Linked DNA regions of Drosophila melanogaster. Changing the gene in region 2 together with the main gene of any one other region gives a genetic interaction. Each region holds a gene or a part of one and is shown on either strand. Other genes may lie near its edges.

The links.
Region 1: of Lmx1a (region 2) and eya, changing one suppresses a phenotype caused by changing the other (phenotypic suppression), as found in Drosophila melanogaster (one study listed by BioGRID).

Annotation. Positions count from the first base shown.
Region 1 is NT_033779.5:6,528,009-6,543,032, forward strand, and holds the start of eya (eyes absent), read right to left. Parts: upstream 8,104-15,024; 5' UTR 7,893-8,103; coding exon 7,821-7,892; intron 4,945-7,820; coding exon 4,898-4,944; intron 2,502-4,897; exon of another isoform or gene 2,415-2,501; intron 2,322-2,414; coding exon 567-2,321; intron 505-566; coding exon 260-504; intron 184-259; coding exon 2-183; 3' UTR 1-1. UniProt on the Drosophila melanogaster protein: Tyrosine phosphatase thought to play a role in transcription regulation during organogenesis through its intrinsic protein phosphatase activity. The phosphatase activity was shown in vitro. Appears to function together with So and Dac in eye development.
Region 2 is NT_037436.4:12,318,330-12,336,658, reverse strand, and holds Lmx1a (LIM homeobox transcription factor 1 alpha), read right to left. Parts: upstream 7,428-18,329; 5' UTR 7,190-7,427; coding exon 6,406-7,189; intron 2,453-6,405; coding exon 1,574-2,452; intron 1,500-1,573; coding exon 1,240-1,499; 3' UTR 758-1,239; downstream 1-757.

The DNA.
Region 1 (15,024 bases), on a different chromosome or scaffold from region 2:
TTCATAAGAAGCCCATGTCGAGGGCAGTGTAGAGGGCGCGAATGTCGCTGTGGGCGGAGATGCGCCAGAAGGGGAAGTTCATGGCCTTGGCGGCGGTCTCCTCCTCGTTCCCATCCCCAATCACCACGTAGGTGCTCTTGCGCCCAAAGCGAGTCACGATCCGCTCATAGCAGGTTTCATGGCCTGCGGGAAATGGAAGGGAACAAAACAAAAACTGGTTATATCTCGGATCCATCCACCATCGCCATCCTCAACTCACCGATTTTGTGCGCACTGTAAATGTTCTCGATGTTGAAGATGCCGCCCAATCCGAACAGCAGGACCTTGGCCAGCGCCGGGGCCAGTTGCGTGGAGGTTACCAGCACGTTGACGCAGTTCTCCCGCTGGGAGATCATGCTCAGGCACTTGAGCGCCAGCGTGGCCCAGTTGTCGGTCGCCACCTCGATTTCCGAGCGTATCTGTAGCCAGGCCTCACGTTTTCCGGGTCCCAGAAGGGTGCCAACACTGGAAGAACATTCGATCAGTTAGTAAACTATGAATCCGAAAGCGCATCCCCCAATACTCACTTTCCACGATAGCTATTGTAGATGTCCTTGATCTTGCGGTAGCGGAAGGCCAGCTTGCGCATCCAATCGACGCCGCCCCTCACACCGGTGGGCAGGCAGAGATTGGGCGGGGCGCCTGGTGGAGTGTTCGTGTGGAAGCCATCCGTGGCGAAGTTGTAGGCGCTCAGGTCCTGGCCATTGTCGTCCGAGCTGACATCGTCGATGTGCACCTGGTCGCACTCCTCGATCTCGTTGAAGAAGAAATGCGTGTCGGCCATGTTGAAGACCATCTCCTCCATGCGGAAGGCGATGGTCATCAGGGAGCTGTGGTCTTTGGTGTATCGGTTGGCATAGCTGCCCGACAGCAGCGTGTGGAAGATGATGAGCGTCTCGTCCAGATCCCAGACGAACACCCGCTCCGGTGGCTTCACCGCCTCACTGTTCCCGGTGTCCGAGGCAGTGCTTCTGGTGGGGCTGGGCTGCTGATGGCGTCTACCACGCGCCCGACCCGTCTTACCCGTGGGCGTGGTCTTGCTCGTTGCCACGCCCCCAGAGCCGGCGGTACCCACACTGCTGCCTCCGCTCGAGTTGAGAGCAGCGGCCGCAGCTGCCGCGGACACATTGCCCAGCGGGCCAATGCCGGAGCCAGTGCTCGGCGAGATCGGGAGCGGGGAGTGCGGCGAGTGGGTGGTCTGGTGCACCGGCGTCGTCGAGTGGGTGTCCGTGGGACTCTCGGAGAGATTCGAGGAGGCCGCCACATGGAAGCCATGTCCATGACTCGCACTCGAGCTGGGCGAGCTGACCGCATACGGTGAGTAGTTGGCCGGACTGTAATAGTTGCCGTACTGCTCGTTGTAGTAGCCGCCGTAGTCCTGCTGCCCGAAGTTGTTGTAGCCGGCGTACGGACTGCTGTACAGCTGCGAGTTGTTGTTGCCGCTGGCGGCATAGCTGGGCGTCAAGTAGGCAGCCGCCGCAGCTGCCGCTCCGGGTTCCATCTTGGCCTGCCGTGCCGCCGTTGCCGCCGCATAAGGAGTTCCGTATCCGGAGTAGAAGGGCGGCGGCGTGTACTGCTGCATGCTGTTGTAGTAGTAGTAGTCATGTTTGCCGTCGTAGACCGCTGCTGCTGCCGCTGCCACTGCCGAAGAGTTGACCGCCACTGCTCCTCCGTCCAGCGGATTGCTGGCCGAGCTGCAGCCGTACAAATTGGATCCGGCCACCGAGCCGTTGTCCAGCGATGCGTGCACTTGGCCCGGGCTGCGGGACTCCGACTTGACCGCTGCACTCGAGCCAGTGCCATCGTGCGTCCAGTGCGACATCACAGTTGCTCCGCCCACCACGCCATCCTCGCCAGAAACTCCACCGCTGGTGCCACCAGCCTGTTGATATGTGGAGAAACTGCTGCCGGCGGACTGCGCAAAACTGGATGCTGTGGCCAGACTGCAGCTGCTCGAGTTCACATTCGGATTGGCATTACCGTTCGAGTAGTGACCGCTCAGCGAGGCCAGCGATCCTATTGTCGGCTGGAGCGGCTGGCTCTGCGGCGGCAGTCCCAGCGGACTGCACTGGCCAACTCCGCCTCCTACTCCTCCTCCACTGCCACCGCCTCCGCCCACACCGACACCCATGCCGGCACCGGCGCTACTGGGTCCATTGCTGGCCAACACGGTGCTGGAATGGGATTGCTGATGGGATTGCTGCTGCTGCTGTTGTTGCTGCTGATGCGTCTGTTGCTGCTGGGGTTGCTGTTGCTGCTGCTGCTGTGACAGATTGCAGAGGCTGCAAGAAGATAAGATGAGAGGCGTCATAAGTGGGTGAGCCAATTAATGGGGTGGTGGTGTCAAGTGTGGGAATATACAATGAAACACAGACCTTTAAGCCGTTTTAAATGTAAACAATTCATTCACAAATAACAAAAGCTGAAATACTTAAATTGTAATGTCACATTTGATATTTAAATCGAACTTGACTATATAATTTCTACAATTTATGCTTATGAATATTTAAAAACGAGTTCTTAGCAAATGAAATATATCCTTAGGCGGCGAACATGACTAATGTAATAACCGAGTCACTGGGACTGCATTATATCAATCGAGGTATTTATATTAAAACCGGTTAATTTAATTTATATATGCCATCAAAAAGGTGGCGGCTAAATCAAAGTATTTATTTTAGGCTCATTTGTTTAATAAAACGTGTACTTACAGCTTAATTGTGCTTATAAATAGCTAAAGCCCGAAGCGAACTAGTTATTAAATTACAAATTATTAAATTATGATTCCCTTTTAATACTCTAAAATAAAGCTAGAAATATGTAATTATATCTTCAATATTGGAAACTGATGAATTTCAAGCGACTTCAAGACGATTTGTAATTATTAATAGGCCGACTGAGGATTGAGTATAAAATAGTACACAAAACACACATGAGGATTTTTTCTTTGTGTGGAGGAGAACCGAAACACAGAACCTTTTGCTCGTTAAGGAAACACATAAAATAGTTTCCAATAATCTTTAAACAACCATTAAATTAACGGCACGTAGTCGTTCTGCTCTCGGTTGCCCATTCCCCGATCCCCTTCGGGCCACTTGGACCAAGTCAAGTGCTTCCCCGTCGAAGACCCGAGCGAAGAGGTCTTCCAAATCTTGTCAAGTGTTATAAATATTTTTCTACGATCTGGCCGTTCTCTTTCCCTCTTCCTGTTGCTGGATTTGTTCGGGTTGTTTACTGGGATCTCGAAGAGGAATCGCTTGGAATCGGTGCGGGGCACTTGAGCGGATCGCTGGGTCCGCCTTTTGGTGGCATGTGCGGAGTGTCCCGGACAAGTCCTGACCCATCCCCCCCCCCATTCCCTTGCCATGGCCATGTGTGCAGCAAATGTTGAGCGACAAATATTTCTTTTATATACATATATTTAACGATTTGTGTTTTGATGTTTTTTTTTCTGTTCTGTTACTCTGATGTTATTGCTTTTCGAGTAGGACATTATTAAAGTGGACAAATTGGAAAATCTACGAGGGCTCACTAAAAATCAAATAAAACTGAGCAGCAGTCGAAAGTCAAATAAATCAGAGCTACGGGAAAATGAAAACAAAGAAAAGGCTTTTCGATATTTTGGGGGAAAAATGGAGACAAATTGGGGGAGAAATTCAATCCTTTTCGATGCAATTAAGATGAGTTTTTTACAATCAGCTGGCAAATTAAATCCCATATTTTCTATCTTAAAGTAGCAAGATAAAATCATTTAAACACCGCGTTATTTCCCTATGGAGGATAATTATTTTAAATTACTCTCTACTCAAATGATTTATCTGCCTCACTTTCTTCCTTCGACTATACCGTATACCATATTTCCACTTTTTCCGCCTACGATTTCCCCCCATCCCCCCATAAGGCTTGGAAAATATTTAACAATTTTTCATAATTTTAATAGGAAGGTAAATTAAGTGCCCAATTTCCAAAGGAATCTGACACCTTGAGATTCTTTCGCTCGGCTGGAAAGGGGCCACATTTATCTTGCTGGCAGCCACAACAAGAGGGAAAATGGTAAAAGGGGAGCAGCTGGTGAAAGGGGGAAAATCATTTTCCCAGCGCAGAACGACGCGTGCGCCAAATGGAGGGAGGAAACCCAACCCAAACTTTGGCTTTGAGATCTGCTCTCCTCACAATATGGGCTGACCAATGGGAGATTTACGAATATTATAATAGAAATTATCGAAGAGGGAGGTTGAGAGGTCTTTAGCACTAAGCCGCAACTGTTGCCGCCTTTAAGCCTCTTTTAAGTAGTTGGCCCTGCACCGCCTCGTGTCCCTACGATGTCCACCATGCCCCTTGGCAAGTGTTAAGTGCCCTGACACTTTTCGGTTCTTTTTGTTTTTCGGATTTCGGTTTTTGGATTTTGGATTTCGGTCTTGGGTTCGCTTCAGTGTCGCAGCGGAAGCGTGCACCGAATTCCTTGAATTTCTGCCGGGGCATGTGGCAGGTTGTGTGGACCACATGCAAAATGTGCACTTCCCTTCCCTTACGACGATCCGACCATGGCCACTTTTCAATCGAAACCAATTGAAAATGGTGAGCCTCTTGTCAAGTGTTAGGATGTTCTCGCCGTTCTGCTACAAATTGTCTACGCTTACAGAGAGGGAAACCTTTTTCTTCAGGATCCTGGGAAGCAAGTTGGTAAAAGACTCATAATTTAGGTTTCAACCTATAAATATATGCAAACTATTATTTCCCCTATATGTGTTTTAGTTAGAACATATTACACTTTTAAGAAATCTATTTCATAAAAGTACCTAAATTACATGTTTATGAATAAGTATATTTATATATATTTTATTTTATTTGAACCTACCGGTTGCGTTCATGTGTATCCGTGTGGTCTGTCTTGGGACGTTTAACCTGAAAAAAAAGTGAAGAAAATCACATTAAAATATATACTTATACTGAATGTTAATTTTTGTGAATTTTTTGGATTTTCGCCGGCCCTGGAAAGAATTTGTTTATAAACAAGGCGGACGCACTCACACCTCAGCGTCTGGCGTGGAATCGCCCTGCTGAGCTCGGCACTTCCACCGCCTGAAACTCTATTTGGGTTATCCAGTGCGAGTGGCGAAAGAAAACAGCAAATTTTACATAATTCGCAATCGCCATTTGCTGCTGCGCCAAGCGATTTTCGCTGCCCGAGCTTGTGCGTGGGAAAAAGTTTAACTCAACTGTTACTCGGATGTGCGGCGCCATTTGGAGGGGAAGTCGGAAAGGGGGGGGGGGAGGTGGTAGTGCTCGGAAAAGCAGCAGGTGGCAGCGGATTTCGATAAGGATGCAAAATGGCTAGATGGAACAAAGATGACATTTAACTATACAGACTTTCGAGGAAAGATTGTGTCTCTAGGCATACAATAGAACGTCCTTTACATCCACTTACTATGTTTTATATTTATAAAGCTTTGACAATTCAGCTTTTGCCAGAATGATTTTGACAAATGGTCAAAAAAAAACGCCCCTTAAGAAGACATGTATGCAAATCGAACGGAAGCCAGATAAATCGAAGGCGGACTAAGGGGCGCGGCAAGCCCAGGTGCTGGAATTTGTGCGCCTCTCCACCCCTAAAGAAGTCCCTCAAAACAAAAAAAAAAAAAAACAAAAAAAGAAGGGCGGGAAGGGAGCGAAAGCTGAGCGGCTTCGGTTGACAGCTTCTGCCGTCCGGCGAGATGACCACACGCACGCACTGTCCATCATCCGGTGATCTGGTGGGGGGCAGCAGGACGCAGTTTGCTCAGATTTGTCGACGGACCAAGGGAACACGCGCATGCGCAGCGGCGGACAAGCGGACAGATTGCCGAACGGTAGCGTTTCGATGAGCTGCGCATTGGAGTTGCGATCTCGGGTCGCGAATTCTGCAGGATTGCGTGCTGCACGAGCAACCGAATTCGAGTCCGAAGTTGTATGCAAAAGTGAGCTGGTGAGGGGCCAACAAAAAAAAGGGGGGGGGGAAAGGGAAGAGTCAAATGCAACCTTTTACTAAACTAATTTATGGCACAAGCTGACAACGTAAACATTAACACAGACAACACTCGAATCAGTATCTGGGGGGGTTTTGGTTGGGCCGGCTTGGTTGGTTCCAGCTGCGGAAAAGAGTGGGAGATATGTGGTATAAAGACCTGTTTGTGGGCATCTTTAACGAAATTCCTGTGATCGTAATCTCTTTGTCTCTTCTGCTGCTTTAGAAGAAGATTAAAACACACACACTCGGTCACAAAAAGGCAGGCAAACAAAAGACAAGACAAGAAGACGGCGACAAATTTTTTATTAACCCGGCCCTAAGACCCCGAAGACCCCTACAAACCCCTTGAGCCCCCTTGAGTCCCCCTCGAGTCCCCGCGATAAAAATCAAAATAAACAAGAGGAAAATTTGTATCTTCTGGTGGACGAAGTGGAATCGAAGGAAGGGGCTGCTATGGCATGGGACCTATCCCATGCACCTTAACACTTTGGCACGTTAATTACGTTTTGGGCCACGATCGTGGTAGTATAATCAACAATCGCCAAGTGTCAATCGCAGTGGCCATAATCAATATTTCGACTCCTCCACCGCCCCCCCCCCCCCCACACACTCGCACACACGCACACCGATGTGAATTCTCTTTGTCATAAATTACATGCAGCGCGTATTGTCGCAGTTGAATTATGGCGTGTTAATTTTTACGATTACGGCTTAAACTTAATTAAAATGTGATTAATGCCGCTGGACGAATGCCGTAGCCCAGCTCTGGCTTTTGTGGGCCAGGCTCTTTAAATTCCCATAAAGCCGGCACCCAGAGACCCACTAGAGCTGTAATTTATGCTCTATTAATATTTCGCCTTAACCATCCGGCCATCCGGCCACTCCACGTTCGTCACGTTTCCTTCGATCCGACTTTGTCTTAGCCGTAGTTTAGGGACCCATAAAAGCCTGGAGAATGCCGTTCCATTAAATCGTCGGGAAACGAACTTTACGCTAATCTCGGCCAGACTTTGCATCGCAAGCGTGCAGTGAATGAAAAGGCTTTGGTAATTTGATGGGAGAAATGCATCAGCAGCGAATTGGAAAAACGTTTGTCACTATTTCGGCACTTTATTAAGCGTTTTTAATGACCTTTTGGGACTCAACTTGTTTGCTTCATTACCCCACAGCCAAAAGTTAAGCCGATTAATGCGTTGTAATAAAATTTTGGTCAGGTGCCCATAATCTTTATCCCCATTAACGATTTCCCAACAATGAGCAGTCATTAAAGCGCTTTTCTTCGCAGGATGGGTCTATAAAATTGATAATCCTCTGTGAATGAGTAACATTCCATACATTTTCAAGCAACCCAATGAAATTGTATTTCTTCGAGTGTATTTGCACGACTTATTCGCTTAGATTTATGAAATCGAATAGCATCTGAACACGACTTAGTTGTCAAGCTGGACTAGATTTATATATGAAGTGTGCTATGATATCACACCGACCAATAGATCAGCTTAAAGCATCCTAAACTGTTGTTCGTACATATATTAGACTCCATCCAGGCTTGATAAATGAGAGTCGAAGCGTTATCTCGCCATGGAGTTTCACTTTTTGGATACTACTCCCCGACTAGGTGAAGCCCCACAAGGCGCAACCACCAAGGAAGCTACCGCCGTCATCATAGTCATAACACTAGCAATACTAGTAATAGTAATAACCGACGGCACAGCCATCTCAACCACATCACTTTTAAAGCTTCGCGAGGAGAGCACTACGACTATGTGATTACCTTTGGCTCGATCATTTTGTCAATTAATCCGCATCGCGGGGCAGCGTAGTTGTATGGCATTAGGGTGACCATTCTGTGGACTTGCGATTACTTTCACTTGCAACACACACAAAAACACACACGCGTGGCGGGGTAGTGAACTCGACCGTTTCAGGTAGTTAATGTATGGTCGATGTTTTGAAATCGAATATATATTTAGTTATAGCGTTTCAGAACGAACGAAATGTATCTGGTAGGTTTTTTATCTGCGACTTCGGGCGGATCGACCGTTCCCGTAGCGCTCGCTTTGAGTGGCTCGAATCGACTGAACCACCGAAACAGCCGACTTTTGTGGCTCAATGCGACGCCGGCAGCGAAGCGGCAGCGGCGCTGCTTGAGTGGAAATCCCTGGCTCGGATTATTTGGATTCGTATTCGTACCGGCTAAATGTATCTCGGCACTCGAAACGAGTTCGTGTGAGCGGTGCGCACTCGGAGCAGCCTCTCTCGCTCCCTCCGCCGGCCAGAGAATGCGCCTAGACTCCGCCCATTCCCATTCCCCAAATCGAAGGGCCAAGAATATCGCACAGGGGTGGGTCGAAAACCACTTTTCCTCAAAGTTTGTTGTTTCTTTCTCTGTATTATGTTAGTTTTTTTTTTTGGTAAGTATCTCTCGGATGCGGGCGAACAATGCCCATTGTGAATGAGATTTTGCCGCTGGGCGAACGCCAACTGAAAAGTTGGTTTTCCTATGCGCATAAATTAATAAATTAATTCGAAACAACTCCGCCACCATTCGAGCACATAAAACAAATTAATAAGCTAATCAGTTGGAGTTTCTCGGCCTGTTCAATGGTAACCGCCAGCAAATTTAATGGCAATCGTAAAACGCGCAACGCGAATATCGGGTAATTTAAAACGCCTAAAACTTATTGGGTTCGATGGATCCGTAACGCATTAGAGAAGGAGCTCCCAAAAATCGAAATGCTCATGTAAGACGAGCCGAAGTGTGCTGGGCATAATCAAACCGATACGGGACATGGTATATGGAATATGGCAAATGGTATATGGTATATGGGATATCCGATCTGTGGACGGATTAGTGAGTGCCATAAACAAATTGGCATCTAATCAAAATCACAGGGCTATCTCTCCGTCCATGCAGAAGTGAATCACTTCCGATGGTAATTGGGTAGCATAAACATGATGGTTTAGAGCCACTAATGAGCTCGATTAAATGAATTAGAATGCTCAGACAGTATGGCAGCCAATTGATGTTGATTGGGGCAGCTCTGGCAAATTACTGAGCACATAAATTTTAAAGTGTGTTGAAACTTCATCCAAATGAAATTCTAGTAAAAGAGTTAAGCTTTAAGGTAGGCAACTTGTAAAATATCTTTTAAACCTCTCCTGAATATATATTTTACAATTAAACAAACAGTTGTCATAAACCGATAGCGGTTAACATTTTTTATTCTAATAAATATATATTTCATGGCCGTCTCGTATTTATTTATTTATACGTCTCCGTCGAGACGAAACAATTGAATCGTGTGCTAAACAATTCATGTTGATTCAACACTTGATTTTTGGCCCAACAGAGACTGACTTAAAAGCCTGGATGTAATTACAAGTGAGCAAGTGAAACAAGTGCATTTAAGTAAATAGGCGACATGCACACATGCAATAGAATTGCAATGGAATTCCGACAATGAGCCCATTCGATCCCACAACAAATTCAGCCACAAGAAATAACAAAAGTGAAGCTAGAAATTTGATTATGGCATTTTGTTAAGGCTTTCCACAGAGAAAATCGAGCATGACCTCAAAGTGAGGGAGTGCACTTCTTGGTGGATACATTTTGGGTGCAGTGAATCTCCGAGTCGGGCATTAAATTAGCTTTAATCGCTTTAGCACGATCGTGAGACAACATGTCGTCAATTATATCTACGATGATCATGGTGCTCCTCCCTCCACGATAATCCGTCTTCCCTCAGTTTGCCACTCGGAGAGTCTTCTGTAAACAAATCTGCGCACAATTCGCTGCATTTGCAGATATTTCTGCGGCCTGGCTTGTTGCTGAGACTGGCACATTTGTCGTGGACCGGTTGCCGATCGTCGACCATCCACCATCCACCATCCAGCATCCCAGTTTCCCCCTTGAAGCAGCAGATCCCCTCGGAACTGAACGTGCTGATCGTGCGACTGCAAAAGCCTGCTGCACAATGGAGAATCAGGGAGTCGGTGAATCGGAGAATCAGAGAATCGCACGGGGGCAGGGTAGAACTCGAAAGTGTTTAAGATTTACGTTCAGTTTTGATCGGGCTGGACCTCCCCGAGTGTAGTATTAATTTTACACAGCCAAAGGAAGTGGGGGCCACATGGTTTGGGATCGAGAGGCCTGTGTCCGTTCCGCGTTGGGCGCCATTTTAATGCAAAAGTTTTAACACCTGAGTCGAGCACATTTGTTGCCATGTTCGCATTCTTACAACTTGATCTGGGCGACTGTTCGCCGGACATCTAGATAAGGACTTGGATTTGGCTACGCCAGCATTGGGACATTGAATTGCTTGTCCGTTGTCATTTGGTTGGATGCCCAGTGTGGCCTGCCCCTCCACCCCCTTCGCGACGCAGCTCAGGTTCTCCGGTTCAAAAGTCGTCGAGGAATGCGTCATTCGATTGGCGAGCCCACGAATTGGGTCAGTTCTTCCATGCCATGCTGATTAGGGAAGTTTCACATTTGTCAGCACATGCCAAGCGTCTGAGGCATTCATCGTTCTGCCCCTCGAAAAAAATGTTGCTGAGCCATGGAGATCTGACCGCATATATTATAAAATAGAGAACAAAACGATAAAAAGCGCAGGCCATGGAGCTAAAAATTGCAGCGATATTTGCATGAAGTAATGCCCAGAAGAGGTTTGGTATGCAGATTTCTGGATTGGGGTTTTTTCGTTTTGTAGCTGGTCTTCCGAAGGGGAACTGCACATGGGATTTCAATTCCTAAAAATCTTGAATGAAACGGCTTGGTAATTAAAACGCTTCATAGACAAAAGCGCACTGAACTTTCCTTGGTCCGCTTGTCACTCGTTTATTTCCACAGAAACTTGCGAAATAAATGGAAAAGTCAACAGCCAATCTGAAGGTATTGCATTTCCTATGGAAAACACATTTCCCACTTGTACAAATATTTATAGGGTAACTCCAGACGATCAGCTGTTGCAGCAGGGATCCCATATCAATCGAATCGACTCGCCTCAAATCGATCGTAAATCACACAAAAATCGTGTTTCCTATACAACTGAGCACAAGGCGCATTAGCCGAATATATAATTTTGACAGGCCATTTTATGGGTCGAAGATCATTAAAACGAACTACTGTGCTGGCTCTATAAAAAATATGAACATAAACTTGGATTTTATAAATCAACAAGGCCAGAGGGAGCCGTCGATCGGATGGCAAAGCTAAACAAAGACTTGGTCAGTGGTCTACGAGTATGTGGGCGTTTGGCTGGGTCTTGATACACCCGATAAAAAGCAAAACAAAAAAACAATGAATACAAAAATAAACCGAGTCGGGAATTGCACTTGCACCAGAATGAGGCATCCAGTTCATTATGATTGAGCCGATTATTATGGCCACCAGGGTCGGCGAGAAACGGTTCGTTTATGCTTTCATTCTTGGGAAAAATTATGCGGAACCTGTGTTTCAGTTCCAGGCACGTGCCGATCTCCGACTGATACGTATATGTACATAAGTATGCACATCTGATGGGGGTCAGGAGGAGGTGGAGAATGGAACGGAGTAGGATGTGAATCGCCATAGTGACCGAGGCGAAGCAAACATTGGTTAGGAATTTCATTAAAAGGTAAAGCCGAAGCCCAAAGCCGAGCAGCTTCTATGTGTGTGTTCTCCTGGCAACCGGCGCACAACGCCACCCAGCCCACCACCCATCAACCTGCCGCCGACTGGGCCACCCACCGAGCGAAGTGTGTCGCCTGTCACTGCAAATGAGCATCAAAACTGCCGCAGAACGGCAGAAGTACAGAATAGCAGAATGGTGGCAGAATGGATTGGATTGGACCGAAGCGAATTGTGGTGGATGGGTGAGTGGGTGGATGTGGAGGTTTACCTGTGGGAACGGCTCTCTAATTAATTTAATTACGTGCTCTCGACTAGCGCGTGTCAAAACGCGCAGCGACCCAACAACGAACAACAAAATTAAATACTCACGCCTCGGTGGGCTCTAATCAAATGCGCCCTCAAGTATGCAATGGAAACATATGCTTTTACCGGGTGGGTAACACAGGGTATCGGGTAAGAGGGTGTGCTCGACTAGGGGTGGCTTTGGCATGCCAGCACAATATCGCTAGCATTTTACAATGGTACCCAAGGCAGATAAGTAGTGACAGATTTCTTCCTGTTGATATATTGAATTGAATTATAAATTATAAACTAAAAAAGTATTGTTAGTAAGCTCCAGGGTATATGATAATCTTCTAAAACTCTCAAATTAAATCAAATGCGTTCTTAAATCTTTTATTTATGTACTAGATAAGTTCGTCTTTTGTATGCTGCCCTAGGGATCACAGAATCCAGCTTACTGGGTATGCTGTAGTCGACGCCCTTCGCACGTTCCGCCAATTTGGCTGCGTTGTTTCTTGGGTTAACCGTTGCCAGGCCTATGAAATGGTGCTTGCAACCACTCGCCCCGTCCGGAAAACAACAACATTAAGGCATCGCTGACAAATTGAATTTGTAAACTTGTCCGCGGGCAACAACAAATCATTGGAGACCCCCAGGGATGCTGTTTCGGTTGCTGATCCGTCCGTTGCCATAACCATCCGTATTCCGGAGTCAGCAGGAGGAGGAGGAGGACGACGCCGCCCGACACGGAGGTGGATTCGAATGCCATGGGACGCTGGTAATCCAATACCCATGCCCTATCCATGTTACGCTCCTCTGGACGGACTTTCTAACTCGGTCTCAGTTCGCCGGCTCGGTTCTGTCCTCCCAACCAGCCGCCCATCACTCCCCCACAAAAACAGTGGCGAAAGTGATGTGAAATTATAGACTTGCTTTCGGGAGGTTGGGGGCGTGTCAACGCAGTTGGAAAAAAAAACACACACACACACGCTTACGCACAATTATTAACACTTATTAATGTTGAGGTTTCCATATATATGGCACCCCAGGGCTTAAATTAAAGTCATCCCGAGTGCCAAACAGCTGCCTCAAGTGCCGCACTTGAGCCGATCTGGATCCCGGAACAGGGGGTTGCAACCCGGGGATTGAGTGGGGTTGGGCGTTGGCTTTGTCGCTGTTTAAGTAGTCATTAAGATCGAGTGTGGATAAGATTTTTTCACAGCTGGCTGTCCTGCCGTTGGTACCAGCCAGTACATTCGCCAACCCCTCGCCAAACGAAAAGAAAAAAAAAAAAAACAAGAACCCCGCCTTGCAATTAGCCAACAACCTTTGACTCCGGCCCAACTCCCTTCATGGTGAGCCGGAATCCTGACTGTCCGGAATAAGCTATTGACAGCTATTGTCTTCTAATTAAACAACAATGTTGACCTATTCTCAAGATGTCACGGATCGGGTTCAATGAAAACTTCCTTTTGGGTTAAAAAATCATTGCAAATTATTTACACTACTTTTTCGGAAAATCGGTTGCATTGTTTGTTAATTAAAAACTTTTGATTGCTAGGTGAGGAACAACCCTTAAAGAAGTTCGCCTTGCTAACCCTTTGAGTATATCTGCTGAAGAAGTTGCTTGTTAACCCTTTGAGTTGCGCTTCAACCCTTTCATTCTTGTAATAATTAAGTTGAAGGAAAGACAGTATTGTAAATTATAAAGTTGAGTTGAGATTGGGCGAGCGCTAACGATGTCTTTCGGATTACAGGGTACTTTTGGGAAAATAAATGAATAACTCTTTTTTTTCTCAGTATTGTTAGCCTTTCTATTTCATCCCTTAATAAAATAATCTTTAAGTTAATTTCTGCGATGAATCTACCGAGTTTAAGGCAGAGATTCCACACTGCGGCTGATGGCGCACCGCAAACTGTGCCAACTGTGCAACACTTGGACTTGGGCAACTGGTATCTGGTAAAATGGTAAACGGCAACCGAATACCCTGCTGAACTATCAGTTACACTTACACCATATGTGGCAGCCCTAAAGTTGCCGCGTATCATTTTCATCACTCAGACCTTGGCCACATTTATTGTAACTTTTGCGCGGCAGCCGTTCGACAATTGTGGAAATTCTAACTATTATAAATGGGTATAAAAAATGGCAAATAGTTGATTATTTCCGTTAAACTTAATAACGTCGAAAATAGAGCGGCAAGGCCGGACCGAATTGAGGGAAATACGTATAGTATTACCCGTTTGGTTGGAAGAGCGTAAAGCTGAATTGTGCGACCAACTGTTGATGGGACAACTTTCGCGGCGGTGGAGGAACAGGTGCGCTCGTCACTGGGAATCGAACCGGAATCGGTGCGGAAACCCTATGGAAATCGGAGGATGGTGCCGGGATCTAAGCCCCTGGACCCTTGCCGCTGCATCCCTGCCAGCACTTTCATCTACCACCTCTCTCCTCCCTCCCTCCGGACCATCCAGACGATCCCGAATATCGAATTTCGCTTTACCGCCTCGCCAATCAATGGACGAAATGTGAATGATTTGTTTGTTGGCATTTTGGCTGCCAATTGTCCGGATTTCGGAGGCTGCTACTGCTGCTGCACTTTCCCAAGCCCCGAAGAATGGATGGAAAAAATGTGCAACGAGGAAATCTGATATTTTTTTTTCATATTTTTTTTTTTTTGTGTGAGACTGCCTGGAAAATTGCTGGGGACGAGGCCAGGCGAGGAAAAAATTCGTGGTAAAATTATGAAAAAATCTAAGAAAAACTGTCACGACTGCTAACGAGTAATGCTATCCCCGTTCCTCTCATTTCGCTCCGTAAAGTCAAAGGTCGCACAAATTTGTCTCGGAAAAAACCGCTTAATTGGTAGGGGCTTTGGGTGGGATGGGATCGCTTGGAATGGGATGGGGTTACAAGGAGGGCAGCTGGCTGTCTGCGCCTTTGACTGACAACAGCCACACCTAAGTAAACCGGGCGCAGAGAGTCACAGTCGCCGGCAGGAGTCTTATCATGCTCCAAGCTGTCTGCCACTTGATTGAACCGGAAATGAGGCGCAAGTTTTGTTTTCACAGGCTGCGACCA
Region 2 (18,329 bases):
TGTAAAAATAAAAAACTATCGATCGCTGTTTTAAAAAATACATATCGATACATTTCATGTGTGATTGTGAGTAACGATATTCTATTAACATTTGGCTTATAAATATTACTTTCATAAAATTTGATCAAAAATTAATGTATATTAAATCTTTAAACTGTGTGGCTTAAAAGGAATTAAGCAGTAGCTGAGCTGCCATCTGTTAATTATTTCTATCCATGTGGCAACGCTTTGTCGTCGCTATTGGTCGAGTTTCATAAAAGCCAGCTTTGTACGGGCAGCATTTTGGCGGGCAAAAAAATATGGTTTTTAAATAATATATTTCGGTCAATTTATGAAGCTTTACTAAGGCATTCATAGTATTCACAAAAAAAAGGTGTATATATTCGCAGTCGAGTAAATACAGTAAACGCAATAAGTTTTCTTTTTAGTTATTGTGCTCTTTATTTATTATCAAGCATCAACGCATCTTAAATGGATTTTTCGATAATACGGCAAATAAAAAATTTAAAATAAATTAGGCTGTGTAAATAAATACGAAATAAATAAATAAATATTCTTACAATTATATAAAAAAAAAATTAATTTTTTAAAATAAGAGACGATATTACCGATAAAAGACGAAGGATAAAAAATAAGAAATAAAGGAAAATCATGCGAAATAAAAATATTAACAATCGCAAGTCAATCCCAACCCATTTAAAATATTGAACGCATCCGTTAATTCGAAGATAAGATCCACAGACATTTGCAAGAATTCGGTTAAGATGTATATTTTAGGGGAACAGATTAAATTGCACTTGCTAATACAATTATTGACTTTTAAATTACATTTAATAACAATTTTCTCGGGTGGTTAAAACTATTTACAAACATAAGAGGGCGCATTGACCACTTTGCCATTTCTCAAGGAGTTATACATTTTTTTTTTTGGTTTGCCTCTAGAGTCTATACCAACAAAAAGATGTGCTGCCCGCCCCGTTTTTCTGCGCCTTCAAATCGCCAAGAATCTTAAAATTTCAATTAGCTTAAAAAAATCACATTTGATGTATCTTGTATCCGGTTCTACGACTCCAACTTAATGCGCCGAATGCGGAAGGTGCCAACTACGCGCTACGTTTTAAAGTAACAGCAAGGACCTCGCGTCCCTTTTCCATCGGATCCTGCCACTCTAACGCTAATAAATTCGTCTCTATCCCACGATCGCCTCGGTGCTTCCCTGTCATTCCAGCCAATGGCCATCTAATGCTCCGAGCTGAAGTACGAGTTCTGCATGAGATACAGCTTGTCGATGGGGTTTATCAGGCTGTTGTTCAGGTTGGCCAGCATGTCGTGGGGATTCGAGTGGGAGTGCGAGTGCTGGTTGCCCGACGAGCTGGTGGACTGCAGCTCCAGGTTGTTCAGCGACAGCGAGTCCGCATCGTCATCCAACTGGTCAAAGTTGCTCCCATCCAGCGAGAGGTCCGAGCTGCAGAAGCTGTCATTCGAGTTGGCCGGATAGTCTGTTGAAAAGCAAGCCATTAGTACTTGTAGAATAATGCTTGGACGAAATCAAACTTCAAATCGAACCACTTACCATCCGGTGAGAAGGGCAAATTGGGATTCAGCGGCTGGCTGGCGAAAGTGCTGTCCAATCCACCCAAATAACCGGAGCTATCTCCTCCGAGCTCCTGCTTGACGCACTTGTCCTCCTTGTCATTGGTGTCCTTATCGTCGGTGGCGCTGGAATTGCCCGTGCCACGCCCACTGCCCGATCCTCCGCCGGAGCCACCATTCTGCTTGGCCTTGCGCTGAATCTTCTTCATCTTGGCGCGCTGATTTTGGAACCACACCTGCACTACACGAACCGATAGGCCGGTGTCCTTGGCCAGGGCTTCGCGCACTTTGCGACATGGTTTGGGTGACTGATCGAAGGAGGCCTTAAACTGTTTGCGCTGCTGCGATGTGAGGATGGTGCGTGGTCGTTTCGGACCTCTCCTTCCATCCCGTGGCCTCAGCAAATCCTCCTCGTCCAGGCCAACGAACCCACAGTGCTGAGCAGCAGCGGCTGCCAGAAACATCTCCTTCTCCAGATCGTGACGATAGCAGAAGAGCTGGCCATCGCGCAGCATGAACTGCTCGCCCTTCTGGAGCGGCAATCGGCAGGCGTAGCAAACGAAGCAGGGCAGGTGGAAGACAAAGTTCGGTATGGGTCGCATTACCAGCTCCTGCGGCAGGATCGCATGGCAGCAGGAGGAGCACTTCACACCGAACAGCCGGTCGTAGTCCATCTTGCAATAGAGTTTCGAGTTGCGCACGTAGCAGGTGTGGTGCAGCTGCATTCCGCAGTAGCAGCAGGCCAGGCACTGCTCGTGCCAGTTGGCATCGCCCACGTTCATCAGGAATCGGTCATGGATCTTCTGGCCACAGCCCTCGCACAGCTCGAAGTTCTTCTCGCACTTGATGTGGCCCACTTCTGGGGATGAAACAAGCAAAGATGGGGGAAAAAAGTCGCGTTAGTAAGTCGCAGAATACATTTCAAGTAACTAATACACTGAGGTTTAAAATATAATAAATATATCTATCTACATTAATAATCAATTTAATCGAATATTTAACCCATACTTGGAAAATATATATGAAACATTTTCTTGAGAACAGAAATATTTCAAAGAAGAATCCTAATACTTTAGTAATTTTGTTCCAGTGTAACTCCGCTTATTCGCCCTACTGTGATGGGCGTACGTGGCGTATACGTGATGGCGGCACATGTCGCTGCGAAATTATCATGACATGTGCTGCCAATGGAGCAAGGAGCGCGCTGACAATCGAATCGTGTGAAAATGCTTCAACGTCTCTCTTGTTTTTCCGTTCGCTGTTTCGCACTTTCGATGGAAAAACAGAAGGAAAACTCTTCGCTGGAAAAAATTATCTGTCGTCGGACTGCAACAGCTTGTATTGAAAGCTTATTGATGCGTAATTGAAACGTAAAGTTTTCCGTATTTGTTCGGTATTATTGAACAGCCCCCCATCTCGATTATCAATGTATATAAACATGCCAGAAAATGGCTCAATTGATATTGTATATACCACCGAACTTAAGCCAAAGCTTAACTCCTAAACAAAGTCCCTTAAAAAATGCTAATCTCCCATTGAGGAGCTACTGGATTTCAGCTCGCCTTACCCAAAGTAGAACGAACCTAATCCTCCCGTAGACGGAGCTCTTGAAACTGTAAACCAGTCATAAAAAGTAGTACCCGAAAAACACAACAAAAGCTGCATGCAGTAAACATAAAAAATATATGACGACCGCCACGAAAAATGTATGGAAGCATTTGAAAAATGAGCAGCGAGTTGGGAAAGTGCGGAGGGAAAGTGGAGAAAAAGTGCGGAGGGAAACTGGCAATGGAAGTGGAGTGTTATATTATATGGCTGTGGCTCAGTGGCAGAAAAATGTGCATGATTTATGGTTGGCACAATGGCCTCCCCACACACACAAACGCACACAGTCGCCATATCTACGCGAATGTGGCTGTATGGGTGATATATAGTCTGGGAATAGGGACGAAAATCCCTATGTAAGGGGGCGCTAAGCCAGTGCAGCGGAAAGTTGACAATGTCCTCGGGCATTTTCCTATTTTCCTTTTTTTTCTGTTTTTTGGCTTGCATTTCATCCTATTGTGCAGTATCCATATCCAATCGCATTGGCGATAAAGGTTTTTGCATGGGCCGAGCAAAAAATCAAGAATGATTCATTTGATAAACCCCAGAGGGGAGCTGCGTTTTGAGTTTGGCCTCATGTTTTTGTAGAGCTTTGAGCATCGATATTGTGACGGGATTTCGTTTGTGTAATCTAATCGAAATTTATGGCATTTTACTGCAGTTTTATGTATGCTTTTTTTCCGATTTCTCTGTATTGTTTTGGCCAACAAAGGACTCTGCATTGAGTGAGTGTGTGTTTTTGGGCTTGAATGGTAAAGCCTGGGCGAAACTTGTCCAAAAATCAACAAACAACAAGCGCAAACAGTCGGAACAAGTGCGGCACACTCATGTCAAATACATAGATTAAACAGCAGATAAATCCAAAATCAACTCGACGATAAACATAGAACTAATAGAGAAAAGTGTCCTCGTCGTTATCGCCGATAAAGGGGCTTATCTGCCCGAACGCCCCACGATTGTCGCACTATATGGTGCATTTATTGACACATTGACAGCGGGGCGGGGTTATATGGAGATAAATCGGCAGACAGCACCCAACTTCTGGCACTAATTCGGCCACTAACTGGAGTCCAGTCCACGTGCCACGCGGATTTTGGCAGCAGTTCATCGTTGACAGGCAGCTCATAATTCGACAGCTTTCATTTCGACTGACAAACAAACAGGGTCTTTAAAACTCTTCGTTGCTATCTACACCATGGAAATGGTATTAATCATAATATAAAATAATGAATAAAATAGGATGAACTTCAAAAACTACTCTTTTAAAATGTAAGATACAGATTTAATCAAATTACAAATAGGGATTGCAAAATATATTGACTTTTGCATTCTAAACTCAAATGTAGTACTCTTTGTGAGTTCCAGTGGATTTTCCGTATAGTTCTTGAATAGCAGTTTTGTTTCAGTGTAGCTGGATCTCAACGGAAAGTGACACAGAACTATGCGTATGGCGCATACTTCCGCCACACAAATGCACACCTACTGGCGATTGGGTGGGTGGGGTTTGTGGGTAGGACAGGAAGACGAAGCTGGAGCCACCGCAGAAGCCAAATATGTATGCTGATACGCTCGGTGGAATACCTGACACTGAGTGTGCTCATTTCCGTGGTCTGCCCCCGAGTGCACACCACCCCCAATGGCAGCCCATTCGAAATTCCTCGACCTCTGCAAAGTGTGGGCCACCGATAGTAGTTTAGCAGCCGGCATCCAAGTGTTTGCCGAGGAAAATGGAGCTTAGGATGAGAGGCGGGGAGTGGTGTGTGGATTGGGGTAGTGGCACGGAACGAGCGGAAACGGAAACTATTTGCTGCCATTTGGGCAATGGCAAATGGCAAATAGCAAATGGCAGAATGCGAGCATTAATAGAAATTTCATAGGCAAATGCAAAGTTGGCCGGCAAGAGAGCACAGCTATTGTGGGCGATTGAGTGGGCGGATGAGGGGCACTAAAAAACCGAAAACACAATCCACTTAGCCTCGGACGAGGTCTGGTCTGCATATGCATCACACACATTGTTTGCACACTTTGCATTTCGGAGGGAAATTCGCAAAAGTTTTCCCCAGCAACACTTTCGTTGCAACTCAGCTGAAAAGTGTTGCCTATTTTGAGGCTGTCATGCATGCGAGTGTGTGTGTATGTGTGCCTGCATGCCAAAGCATCAGTGTGTGTGTGTGTGTGTGTGTGGGAGGGAGGCAGTGTGTGGCATGCTTTAATAGCCTTTTATTGGTCGAGCCACGCCTCTTTTTGGCCGTGCCGGGCGGATGTCAGACAGGTTCATTGTCAAAATTATTTTGTGGTCAACTTGCGTTCATACTTTTGGAAATACTTTCGCCATGCTTGCCGCACATCCGCCCACTGAACTATCCACAACATGTGTGCGCCATCACAACTACAAATTCATAATTTATTGTCCTCTGTCAATATATATGTACGTGTTAGCCGGAAATTGTGCATTTGCTTTTGCCTGTTTTTACATAAGTGGACAATCTGCCTCTGGCTATTTCACTTGCTAAAAAGTAAATCCAACTCTTTGAAAGCTGAGTTGCAATTAAGTTCCAAGTTAAACATGGATTTATGCTAATATTGATACAATAATAATTAACAAAACCTATGATATATCTAACCAAATTGACTTTACTTGCATTCTGCAAACTAAAAGCAAACTAGTAACAAATAAGAACATTCTTATTTAATGTTTTTTAAATTATTATTTACTTTTGATTTTAGGCTAATTAATATGAAGAATACTTTTCTCTTATATTATTTTAATGTTATGAATATATACGCTAATTTTTACTGCAATCAATAAATGCTGAAATATTCCGCTTAAAGAAAAGTTTCAGGAGTAAACACCTTTTGAAATAAGCACTTCAACTTTATTCGCAAGAAAAAACAACGAATATCTATATATTTTCCCCTAGAGAAGCATTCCTTGGGCCCCAAAAAGCCGAGCACATCGCACGCAAACTGCCGGCATACTCAGGTGTGGGTGGTTGTACACAATCTGGAGCCTCGTCCGACCAGCTTGGAACTCACGCAGCGCAGCACCGAACCTGGACACGGATACGGATGCTGATGCGGATACAGAAACGGACCCGCAGGCCGGGCACACGCAAGTATGCCAAAAACGAAAAGCGTGAAAACCCCAGAAGAGGAACGAGCCGGTAAATTGCTCGACTGCCGGTGCAAAATACTTTTGGAACATACCTGTGCGTCCGCTGCAATCGGCAGACAATTTGGATGCCGCTGCTGCCGATGCCGTTGCTGCACCACCTCCATTCCCATTTCCATTCCCGTTTCCATTGCCATTGCCATTTCCGTTTCCGTTGCCACTGCCATTTGCATTTCCGCTTCCTGTGGCCGCTGGGCCCGTCGATGTGGGTGTCGTCGCAGCGGCAGCCGCCGCAGCAGCAGCAGCAATCGCCGCAGCAACTGCTCCGCCTAATTGCGAGGTGGCTACTGAGGTGCCTGCTGGCGATGGAGCTGCCACAGCAGCGGCAGAGGCAGCGGCAACAGCAGCAGCTGTTAATGTGTTGCAGGCTGAGTGGAGGTTGTTGCTGCTGCTGCCCCCGTTGTTGTTGTTGTTGTTATTGTTGTGGTTGCTGTTGCTGCTGCTGCTGCTGAGGGGGCTGTGTCCTGTGGGCGTGGGGCAGCTGTTAATTGGCACTGGCGTGGTCGAGGCAGCGTGTTGCTGCTGGTGTTGCTGATGTTGCTGGTGGGGGTGTTGCTGCTGCTGCTGATGTTGCTGCTGCTGGTGCTGCTGATGCTGCCCCGTTAATGAAGCCGTTGCCGTGGGACTATTGTTGCCGGAAATGCTTGTTGGCAGATTGTTGTTGCTATTGCTAAGATGCAGGGAGTTGCCGCTGCTGGCAGTCATGCTGCCGGGATTTGGATTGTCCAGGAATCGCGCGCCGCCATGATTCTGCTGCAGCGAGTACAAACTGCCACCGACTGGATTCAGATTCGTGGGCATTGGGTAGAACTCCAGCATCGTATACGAGTTGCCACAAAACACCGCTGTTACTTTTTTAGTTTCGAGTCTACGAAAATGTCACATGCAACACCGCACAAGGAACACGCGACACACAAACAAGACGCTCGATTGCTTTTGCTTTAACTTTAACTACGCTTCTGTTCAGTTTCGTTTAGAATATGATTTCGGTGGCCTATTCTTGCGCTGCCGAATGCGAGGACAACCAGCCGCGTTCGCTGTCAGTTGGCGTGTGATCGAACCATCAGCGAAATCAAAGCATTTCACTTTGCCCTCACAAAAAAAAAAAAAAATCCCAGCTGAAACGTACCCCCGCGCACTGCGCCTGCGCCTGTTTACAAAAGCAACGGAGCGACGGAGCAACGGAGCTGCGGAGCAACAACTGCCGCTTGGCCTGCGGCAACAACAGCAGCTCTTCGTGTTGCACGTGATGCCAGGGGTTGTATCGGTGCAAGGGTTGCAGCAACCCCCTCTCTGCCCCGGCAGTGCGCATGTCTCAAGTGATTATTAGCAGCGAGGGAAATTCTGGCAGAGAGCAAGTCCCTCGCAAATCGCTGGCCACACCTCAGCCTCGCTGCGATTGGCTGGCCATTTCCCCGGCGTCCATTTTGCCGCACGGCGCATGTGCGCAGGGGAAGTGCGGGTTTTCTTTTCTTTTGTTTTTTTTTATATTTGGTTTTCTCATATTCGTAGATGTCTTGGCTTTAATGCAAGACCAAGTCGGCTTGTGGGCGGCCATCGGTGGGCGTGCGGCAGCTGCATGTTGCTGGTTGTTGCTGGTGTTGCTGCCGCTGCTGCTGCTGCTGATGGGGCACAAAGACATACTTGCACTTGCACTCGCGGCAACTTTGGCGAGTTTGCCGCTCGACGGCGACAATTTCCTTGAGTTGTTGCTGCTGCTGCTGTTGGCTCTTTGAGTGGCACGACTGGACCAGAATGCCAGCAACAACAAAGGCAACAAACACAGCAGTGGCAGCAGTAGAGGCAGAAAAAAACAATGGCCTTGTCTTCTTTTACGCTTTTTTGCACTTGCATTTTACTTTTTGCGGGTGAAAAAAGTTGGCGATAAACAAGATGGGAACGGGTGCTTCTCAATACATTGGGCAGGTTATTTAAGGACCTAATGTCTCACAACAAAAGTTTTTTGAAATTCTTAAAGGATTCTTAAAATTTAAATGAACTAGTTTTGAATTCTGGATAATGATTTCCATACATTTTATTCCATTAATGTTATTATGTCTACTGTAAAAGTGAAGATTAAGTCTGTGACTATAGTATTATTAAAGAACTTAGTAAAACTGAAGTATAATCTCTTTATAATTGATTCAAGACATTATTTATTGTAGTTACTCAAAGAGAAAAGATGTTTATTTATTTCTTTTCAAAATCAATCTTTTTTAAGCAGTTTTCAAAGTTGTAAGACTTCATAAAAATAAGTTTCTTTTATGAAATTACATTTATAGAATTCTTATTCCGATAATATCTTTAAATTAAATAAAAGTTGCTTTTAAGCAAGATTTAAGATTTATTAAGTTTTCAATGCTCATACCCCTCTAATTTCCAGCGATTTAAAGCGGAAGTGGCAATGTCACCCTGTATGAGCATCAAAAGCCCACCGACAACTGGGAGGCAGCCCCATTTCCGGCGCCCCCAAAGAGGCCGAAACCCAACTATCCGCCCCCGCAAACACGCACACACTGAAGCACAGATACTATCACCGAGGATGAGAAAGGATGAAGGAAAAGAGAAACCCGAGCGGCAAGAAGAAAAGCGGAAGCTGGAAAGACAAACCAAACATGGTGCTGTGCATAAAAGTTTGGCGCTACTTCTGGAGTCGAAGCTCGAATTCTTGGCCCCCTTTTGGGCCACCACACCATCGCCTGGCAGTAACTTGATGTTTGGGCCTCGGCTTAAGACTAGGCTTTGGCTCAGCGGGCTGCCGACCGGCGTGGAAGTTGTGAACCAAGGAGTCGCCTACGCTGGATATGTGCTCCGTAGCTTAGCATGGATACCTGGGGAAGCAGACGCAGGGGGAGCAGCCGTTGGTTGCCAGTTGGCCAAGTGGGAGACTTTTCACCAAACTTGTTGGCATCGAGCAGCGGCACTTGTACAAGGAATCGGCATTGCTTGCTGCTTTTTCGCCCTGTTTTTCCCGCTTTCCAGTCGCTTCGGTTCACTTCACCTCTGTGGATTGTTGTTGCTGCCAGTTTGTGCAACTTTGAAAACTTTATTTACCGAATTCAACTGGCACAAAGGCCACCGAAGCAGCAGCAGCAGCAGCAGCAGCAATGTGCGCACTTGCTGCGGAATTATAACAAAGGCGGCGAAAAGTATCTGCTTCTGCTGCTGCACGAATTTCCCTCAATCTGAAGGGAATGCTTTCCGTTTCGTATCCACAAAACAAAGTCGCTGCCAAGTGTGCGCTGAATTTAAAGTAATTATTAGAAGTTTAGGAGGGCAGCTAACGAGATCTGAATCCCAATCGTTGGCATCAAACGGTAGCAAGGAAATAGGGGAAAAACAAAGTCGTTGGAAAAGAAATATTAAAGGTTAATATGATCCAATAAATTCGAAAACCTTTAAACAAAAAATAAATATGCCAAATTTAAAATTGCTATCCAATTATTAAGGCAATTAATACAATAAGGTACAATAGGTAATTCTCTATGATAACGTAAAATGTCATCAGAGAACGCCATCCACCGATAGGCAAATAAAACATTTACGGCCATTTCACGGCAATCACTCAATTGTATTCGTCCAAAGTCCAACAGTCCGAACTGACTGACTTTATGACGGCAATAGACCAAAAATTCGGAGGCGTGTGCATAATTAATCCTTGGCAGTAAAAGCCATTGGAACGGGGGATCGCTTGGAGATAAGGTTAATGGCCAGGGCCATCCCACCACTAGTATCCTGGCCACTGCTGTGACGAAATTATGGTTTACTGGTGCCCCCCCAATAAAGATAGTCACGAGTAGTTGGCTTATATATGTATATGCCCTGCCATATCAACTAGATGGCAACAGGGAAAACGAGGCTAAGCGAAAATTCAATTAACCTTGACAACTGGCAAACTGGCGACTGTGCGCCAAGCCAAATACAAAACCCAAAACCTAAAACCCATCCACTAATCGTCATAATAATGATGACAACATTATGCACTCGATAAGTTCGAAGTCGGCTGACAAAAACGACAATGGCAAAAAGTGGAAATTGTCATAAAACTCGACGGCAAACAGGATTTCCAACTGGGGATGATGATATCAGGGCACTGGAAACAAATTTAATAAAACATCCGAAAACAAATGGCAAAGGGTAGTAATGCTCCTCGGGTTGCTTTTATTTTGGGTTTGAGTTGGCATTTAGATTCTGATTCGGGTTTGGGTTCAATGCATCCATTGTGTGCATGTACCGCTCACCTCTCCCCCTGCCTACTGCTCCTTTTATCAATGGCAAACGAGTGAGTTATATTGAATAACCACAAGAACAACAGCAACAACATCGAGGAGAGCACGCTCGGAAGCCTCAGGATAAATAGTTCTTCTATGGCCCTTCAATTACCATTTGAGCATGATAAGCGCTAAAGAGGCACAGACATTGGCATTGGAAAGTGGTAAGTGGTAAGTGGTAAGTGGCCGTGCGGCAAGAAAGAAAATCCAGCCGAAGGAACCGCACAAGACTCCTTGAAAATATGCCTTAGGACCTCTAGGCAGGCAGGACCACCATCCCAGCAGCAGAGGCAGCATGGGTTAGGAGTTCGGGATAGGGGTCATTAGATGGAAACATTTACTCTAACTCAACAGCTCGACTATTGGCGTCCAGTCAAGGGGAAAGCGCCCAGATGGAGCGGGTGGTGTCATTGTTTGTTTTGGCAAGGCTCGCCACTCGGAGTTTGGGTAGGTTCCGCAGGACCTAGGCATATTCATTGGCATCCCAGCCAAGAGAAGAACATCTCGGCAGCTGCTCAACAGACACTAAGATGCTGCGCAAACTGTCAACACTACACGCGCCTACTACACGCAGCGAAAATATTGCGATGACTTGAATTCAATTTGAATCTGGGGATTCATAGGGTACTTAATAGATTTAAAGCACATTTTATAAGCAGGAAGATGAGGCATAAAATACAATTTAGTTTGTTTTAAAAATACCATACTATTTATTTAATGTGTATCCACTCCCTCCACCGAATATGAAGTGTGTAAACAATGGGTCTGAGATATGCTGCACTGCACCCGCCACGAGAAAGGAGTCCTGGGCGATGGAGGAGAGGGAGAGAGCGCGCAGAGGACACGCAGCGGGATCGACCCTGAAGTGGGCTAATTTGACGGTGCCCCGCGTGGCAAATGCAACCCCAACAATGGGTTGTCTAGTGTCCAGGCCGAAGGAAAAGTGTTAAAGGATTTATGCGCGTAATTTTGCAGATGTTTAGATTTCGCTCTCAACTCGCTGCAGTTCGAATGCACTGCAAAATAAAAAATGTAACTTACATATTAAGCAGTATCTTGCTACTTTTTTGAATCTTCTACAGACTTCTTGAAGCCCTATTTTATATGCTTATTGAAGATTACACATATATCTAAGGTCAAACTATACTTCAATTTAATTATCATGGATGGGCATGGTATTTGAAAAGATTTAGCAAGCCTTTATGTCCTTTAAACCGCACACAATTGTATTAGAAAAACTCATTTCGCTTTTTTTTTCAGTGGATCACAACCCAATAACTTTGTGCCTGGTGCGCCGATCTGTGTCAACAACCTTCGCCCGCACCCACATTCATATCCACATCCAGCCTCTAACCCCCGGATTCCAGTTGAGAGTTCGGGTTCGGGACTCTCTGACAGACATGTAGTCTCGCCTCACTCATAACAGGGACATGCAGGACCTGAAGGACACGCTGGCATGGGGGGACTCAGGCAGGCCAAAAATGGACCTGAGACGCATAAGTCAGAGCTCAAGTGGAGTCTGGGACTGTGAAGGGGCGCAGCATGTGCTCAATTTAGTTTTGAATATCGTCTGTCTTTTCGAATAATATTCCATGTTTGTTCAATGTCAATTTTAGTGCTGTTTGATATAGCCCCACAGCCAACAGTCCAAGCTGCTCAAATCCAAATCCCTGTATAATTACCATGATGAATCCCACTGATTCTCCGTTTATTATTGGCCATTGTGGTTTATTTGTCTTTTGGATTTTGCTCGCAGGCATTGTTTATAATCGGGAATCAAACGACTGCAGAAGATGTTTATACGAAACTCTGGCTTCGTTTTAATGAGGCTGGGAATTGTGAGTGTGAGTCAGAAAAACATTCACTCTGCAATAACATTCGAACTGCATTCCAGCGCAAAAACAAACAGTTGTGAGATGGTGTGAAATTTTTGAATTCTGCAAACTCCCATCGGCGGCCAAAGTGAGGTTCCAATTCCCGGCCTGATTCCCAACTCTCTTTTACCCAAATATTTAAGCGCCTGTGGGCCTTCTCGTCTGTTGCCCTCCCTCATCGTGGGCTATCAAAATGAAAATGATACTTTGAAGTTTTCGGGCAACGACAAACGCCAAAGACAAATACAAATATTGGCAATACGCTAAAGCCAAAATCAAATAGAACCCCACCAGTTGGCCAAACCGAAACCAATATTCATTTGGCGTTCGCTGGAGCGGCAATAAATTGCTCAGCTGCCAGTGACCGGCTACGCCGGAGATTTCCAGATTTTGGGGGCTGGTCAAAGGTCAGGGGGCGGGGCATCAGCAGGGCGGGTGGGGATGGTGAAAGGTGGATGGGGCTGACAGGGCTGGTGCGCTTTTCATACGCGTGTTTAGAGCCGCCCAGCATAAGCCATAAAACTTATATTTCCAAATGGCCAACGTCAATAGCAGTCGGGCACTGTGACTTCTAAATTTTATGAAACAAATATATTGAAATTAAAAAAAATTTGTATTTTTATGAAATGTAATTATTATGTTCTAACTTTTTTGTTAGGTCATAAAAGTAGAAATATTTATAATACACTTCAAAGTATTGATTACATCAGTTCCTTACTTCGTATTGAATTACACCCACAAAAACTAAAACTTCACAGTTTTCTGCACATTAAAAGTGAAGATTATAAGAAGATTATCTTGTTTTTAAACGAGCTATTATTAATTAACATATTTGGCTAAATTACTAAACAATTATCTATAAAACTGAAAATCTCATCAAATTAGATAGGGATTATTATGAACTTTTTCTAAAAATAATTAAAAATTAAATCAATTGAGAGCACTGTTCTCAGCTGAATCGATGGTCCCGCAAATTGTTTGCGTGCTGCTTCTGCTTGACTATTTTTCATTTTGCTAGTCGCCGATCCAGCAGGACTGCCCCTCGCCCTTCACCCAACTACCACCCCCTACCGATGGTGGGGCAGAATTTTCTTTTTGCTTGCCAGAACATTTTCCAATTTCATTTGCGTTGAGAACGCGGAATGTGAGCGCGAACGGGCTTTTGGACGCATTCATCATTGGCAGGGCGCCATCATCAGTTGCAGGCTTGGCATCATCGCCATCATCGTCACCATCACCCCCCAGTTCCTATCCCCAACCCCATTCCCTCCCTTGCGAAATGCTGGAGCGGAGCAGCAGCATCATGGGCAGCCAGTTGGCCGTTTGAAAAAACAACATTTCAGCCATATTTTTCTTGCTTTCAATTTGGCGTATCGCGCTTTGGCCATTTTTCATACGGGCGCTTTGATGCGTAACCCGACAAATGCCCTCCAGCCCCCCACTTTGGCCACCCACTCTTTGGATCTCCTTGCGTTCTCTCTTCCTGATACTGGTTCTATTTTTTTGTGGATTTTTTATCTCGTTTCTGGCCAAAACGCAAACGCATAAAACGCGTCCTTTGAGCGATTTGAAGTCAAGTGTAAAAAGCGTTTATGCCAAAAAGCGGAGAACAACAAATTTGGGCTGGGCGCAAAGTGTTTTAAGTTTAATTTGAAAAATATTTGAATTTTGCGCATTTCTTGGGTCAGTGGTCAGTCATTAGATGTGCCCATGAATTGGTGTGACTTTCTATCACTTTCAATTTTCCATTGACAGAGGTTATCTACTTACGAGTGGGAAAATCTAGTGCTATACAATTCACTCGCTTTGGGTAAATAGTTTATATCGCTTTGGGATTAATGGGAGCGTTGGCAAACAGGAGGGTAATTTTGAAAGTTTCACAGCCCAATCCTCCCCCAAAAACGTCGCCCTATTCGGCCGTTTAGTTTGGCAACTCCAATCAGCCGCACAATCTCTGATTGCGACTCGTTCGCAGCTCAAACGTTTCAATATTTACACAAATTGCCTTCATACGGCTACGAATTCGGATACGAATCGCATCTGTGTCCGCCCAGCCGTTAACCGTACTTCATGGCCAATCTCAGATACTAAAAGTTGTCATTTCAATCTGTACCCGAATGTGTGTGATTCGGCCCATGGGAACGATTTCGAGGTTTGTTTAGTGTGGCATCAATGTGGAGGGAAGTAGCGGGGGCACGTTTCTCAAAACAATCCCTTTGACCATGGGTGGCATGATCTTTTCAGATGAGAGATATGACTGGCAATCCTGTGAATGTTCAAACTACTACTAAATGGATTTAGCAATATGATAAATGCAAATTACAATATTTCAAGACTGTATATATTTTTTAAGGAACTGCACTATCAAGATCAATATTACGTTATGTAAACGTGAATAGAAATCATACCTTAAGCTGCAAGTAGATCCCTTAAAATATGCATAATTTAAATAGAATGCCGATGCATCTTTGGGATAGGTTTTTTATACTTTTGGTATGCCATACTCCAAAACCTAGAGTGGATGGTCACCCAATCTTGTAGTATTTGCAACTCCTGACCAAGCCGTCTGGTGCTCTGCAATTATGGCCAATACGGCTAGCTAGGCGACTTTTATAGGAACAAAACCAGCTTGAGGTCAGCATGAAAATCCAAAAGCATAAAAATTCTGACCAAGAGTGAATAAACATAAAAAAAAAGGGAAAAATACCCAACCAACGACGTCACATTCGGTAGTAGTAGTTTTCCGTTGGCCGTTGTTACCACTTGTTGTGGTTGTTGGAGTTGTTTTTATTATTATTCTCAGTGCAAAAGAAAGCGATGGCGAAATGGCCAGAAAAAATACCAATACATGGCCAACACACACACTCAAACACATACGAGCACACACTGCAAGGCTCCATCTCATACATATTCCGTATACGTAGCCCGTTCGTTTAACTGTTGTTTTTATGCGCTGCAGACAAATATTTGCTTTCCGACAATAGTCATAAATACCAAAAGCTACATGCCCGGCATACTTAGAAATACTCTGGCACACACGCTCACTACTGGCTAACACACACACTCAAGCACAACAGCACACACACACCAACACACGACCGCCTGGGGCGCAAATAGAAATCGAGGAAAGCAAATAGCGCACAGGATATGGTTTTTGGCAGCACCAGGATAGTGGCAAAAAGGAGCAGGACGAAAAAATGCGATGCCAGCGAAAAATGCTAGCGACTCGATCCGAGTCGAGTGCCAAAGCGAAGGGCGGTAGACAAAGTTCCCCCAAAGGGGGCGGGGATCCAACACAAAATGGCTGCGCCAAAAGCGGCAGCAGTCGCCAAAAATATTAGAAGGAAAAAAGTCCGCTGGCCAAAATGGCAGAGCAGCAATAGTGGTCACACACACACACCAGCAAAGCGATACGAACAAGGCGCTACATCCACAAAAGCAACACAGTAATGGTCATAGGGACATGCCAAAAGGTTTAGCCAAATGGCTACCAACTACCAACCGAAAATTGATACAGTGGCTAGTTAAATGAGAACCTATCATAAAGTAAAGTATTTATTTTCATCAGTGAAGGAATAATTTTATTGTATTTCATTTAGTAGTTTTAAATAAGAGGTCTAGATACATAAACTTCAAGCGCAGTATCTAAACTATTCTAAGATACGTAAAATATATTATTTTATTTTTATTCAGCTGATCACTGAAATATTTGTACTTTTTTCATTCCATGTGGAACTTAATGTTGCGAACATTTACAAATTAAAAGATAATGTTTCTTTCTTAGTTTGGTACGCCAAATATACATATTTACCATGCAAACCAAGATGATTCAATTGAACTCATAATCAAATAAATCTAATTTGTTGTTAAATCAGATAAACAATGATATGGTTTAATGAAACCATAGCAAGTCCCCACTGTCAGATTCCAGTTTAGACCTTCTTCGCAAAGTTTAGACCTCCGAAATGGAAACAAGAAATGGGAAATTGTGCAACAGCAAAGGCAGCAAGCTTATCCATGTGAAAAATCTGTGCCGCGTGTCCCGAGCACGCGCTCCTTGTTGCCGGTTGTTGCCTTTAACATGTTACACCTTTCCAATCGTGGGCACCATAAAAATCGGGAAATCACAAAATCGAGAAGTGAGGAGGCGCTCCGCCTGGGCAGCCAGTCCGGCGAACAAATAAACAAACAGAGTGCCCACGTGCCTAGCCGGAGATTATCCGCGCATCACAATCGCAGCAGCAGCAACAAACAAACAACCCGCGGCTGAGGATTCGGATCCGCATCGCAGTTCCATTCCAAATTCCCAGTACCCAAGCCAGTGCCATTGTGAGGACCTGTTTGACTTGCGAAGACCACACCCCGCTTTCGCTTAAAACTCCCCTCTGGATTTTTCGCTTTTTGCGATGCTAATCTCGGCGAAATGTTACAAAATGTTTAACAATTAAGTAGCGACACGCGCTGCCACGTTTCGAGTGTGTTTGCCTGCCCCTGGGAGTTTTTTATTGGGCGATATCACTGCATAGATATGGACTCGAATAAAGCAGTATTGATATAGATACCCGCCACTCGATGCTCGATTGAGCGGATGGTGTAGATGGTGCCGATCGCAGCGATAAAAAATGCAAAGAGCTAATCAAGAGTTCAAGTTGCGCGGGACTGACATGTGTAGTCCTCGAAGGTCCTTGAGAACAAGTGCTCCAGTCATCGAGGATGTGGGAAATGGAATCGTGAGGGAACCGCGATTAGACAATGCCACAATGGCATTATGCAACAGCCACTCCACGAATTTGTATTCATTTGCAAATCGCACTTATGATGAGTTATAAGAAGAAATGATTTTTGAAAGAACCTTTTTGATTTTTAGACGGGATATAATCGAACCGGTTTTGATAAAACTTGTACTGCACATTTAATTTATTATACAAGCTAATCTAGAAAGGTTGCTGCTTCAAGTTAGTGATAGTTGAAAGCTAACTGCAAAAATTACCCAGCAGACCACCAAAAAAGTGTCCCATCGCTTTACCAAAATTGATTTTCAAGATTCCAAAACTTATTAAAAAACGGAAACGCTGAAAAAACCAGCCAAACTACTGGCGCAGCCGCAAGAGAAATAAGAAAAAGGAGTCGAGCACAAACAAAAGGAGCAAGGATACGCTGGCAGGATGACGACGAGGACGACAAGGAAACGATAAAAGACCAGCGACAGGCGACAACAAAAACGAAAGCATCGACGACAAAGTGCGGGAAGTTTGCACAAGGACATTGCATGCACACCACATGCATGCACACAAGGATATGAAGGTCCCCACACACACACACACACACGCACAGCTGCATCCGCAAGGCACACCGATACGAAAGCACTCGTTCAACCGCATGGCAGGCAAATGACACAAACAACAACCCAGCAAAACGAAGTGTAACCAGTGAAAAAAACCAACATGGCTTCACTGGAAAATCAGTTAAACGGCCATGACTTTTTGCCTCTGTGTGGATGGATGTACGCGTAAGTGGGGATATGTGAGCGCTTTTGTGTGTGTGTGTGTGTCCTGCCGGCAGGACAACCAATTGAGGCTCCACTTGTCATGCACGTACGGACATGAAAAGAAACACCGACACTTGTGTGCGTCCCATGTCAATATGGCTGGTTACATTTCGGCATTACAGTAGCCGTGGATCCAGGATCCAGGATTCAGGACCCCGGGAGCTACTCCTACTCCCGCTCGAAACACCACCACCCATCCTCACTGTCCACTCGGTGGACGCTTCACTGCCTCCAATGACAAACCAAATATGTTTCGTGGTTTTTAC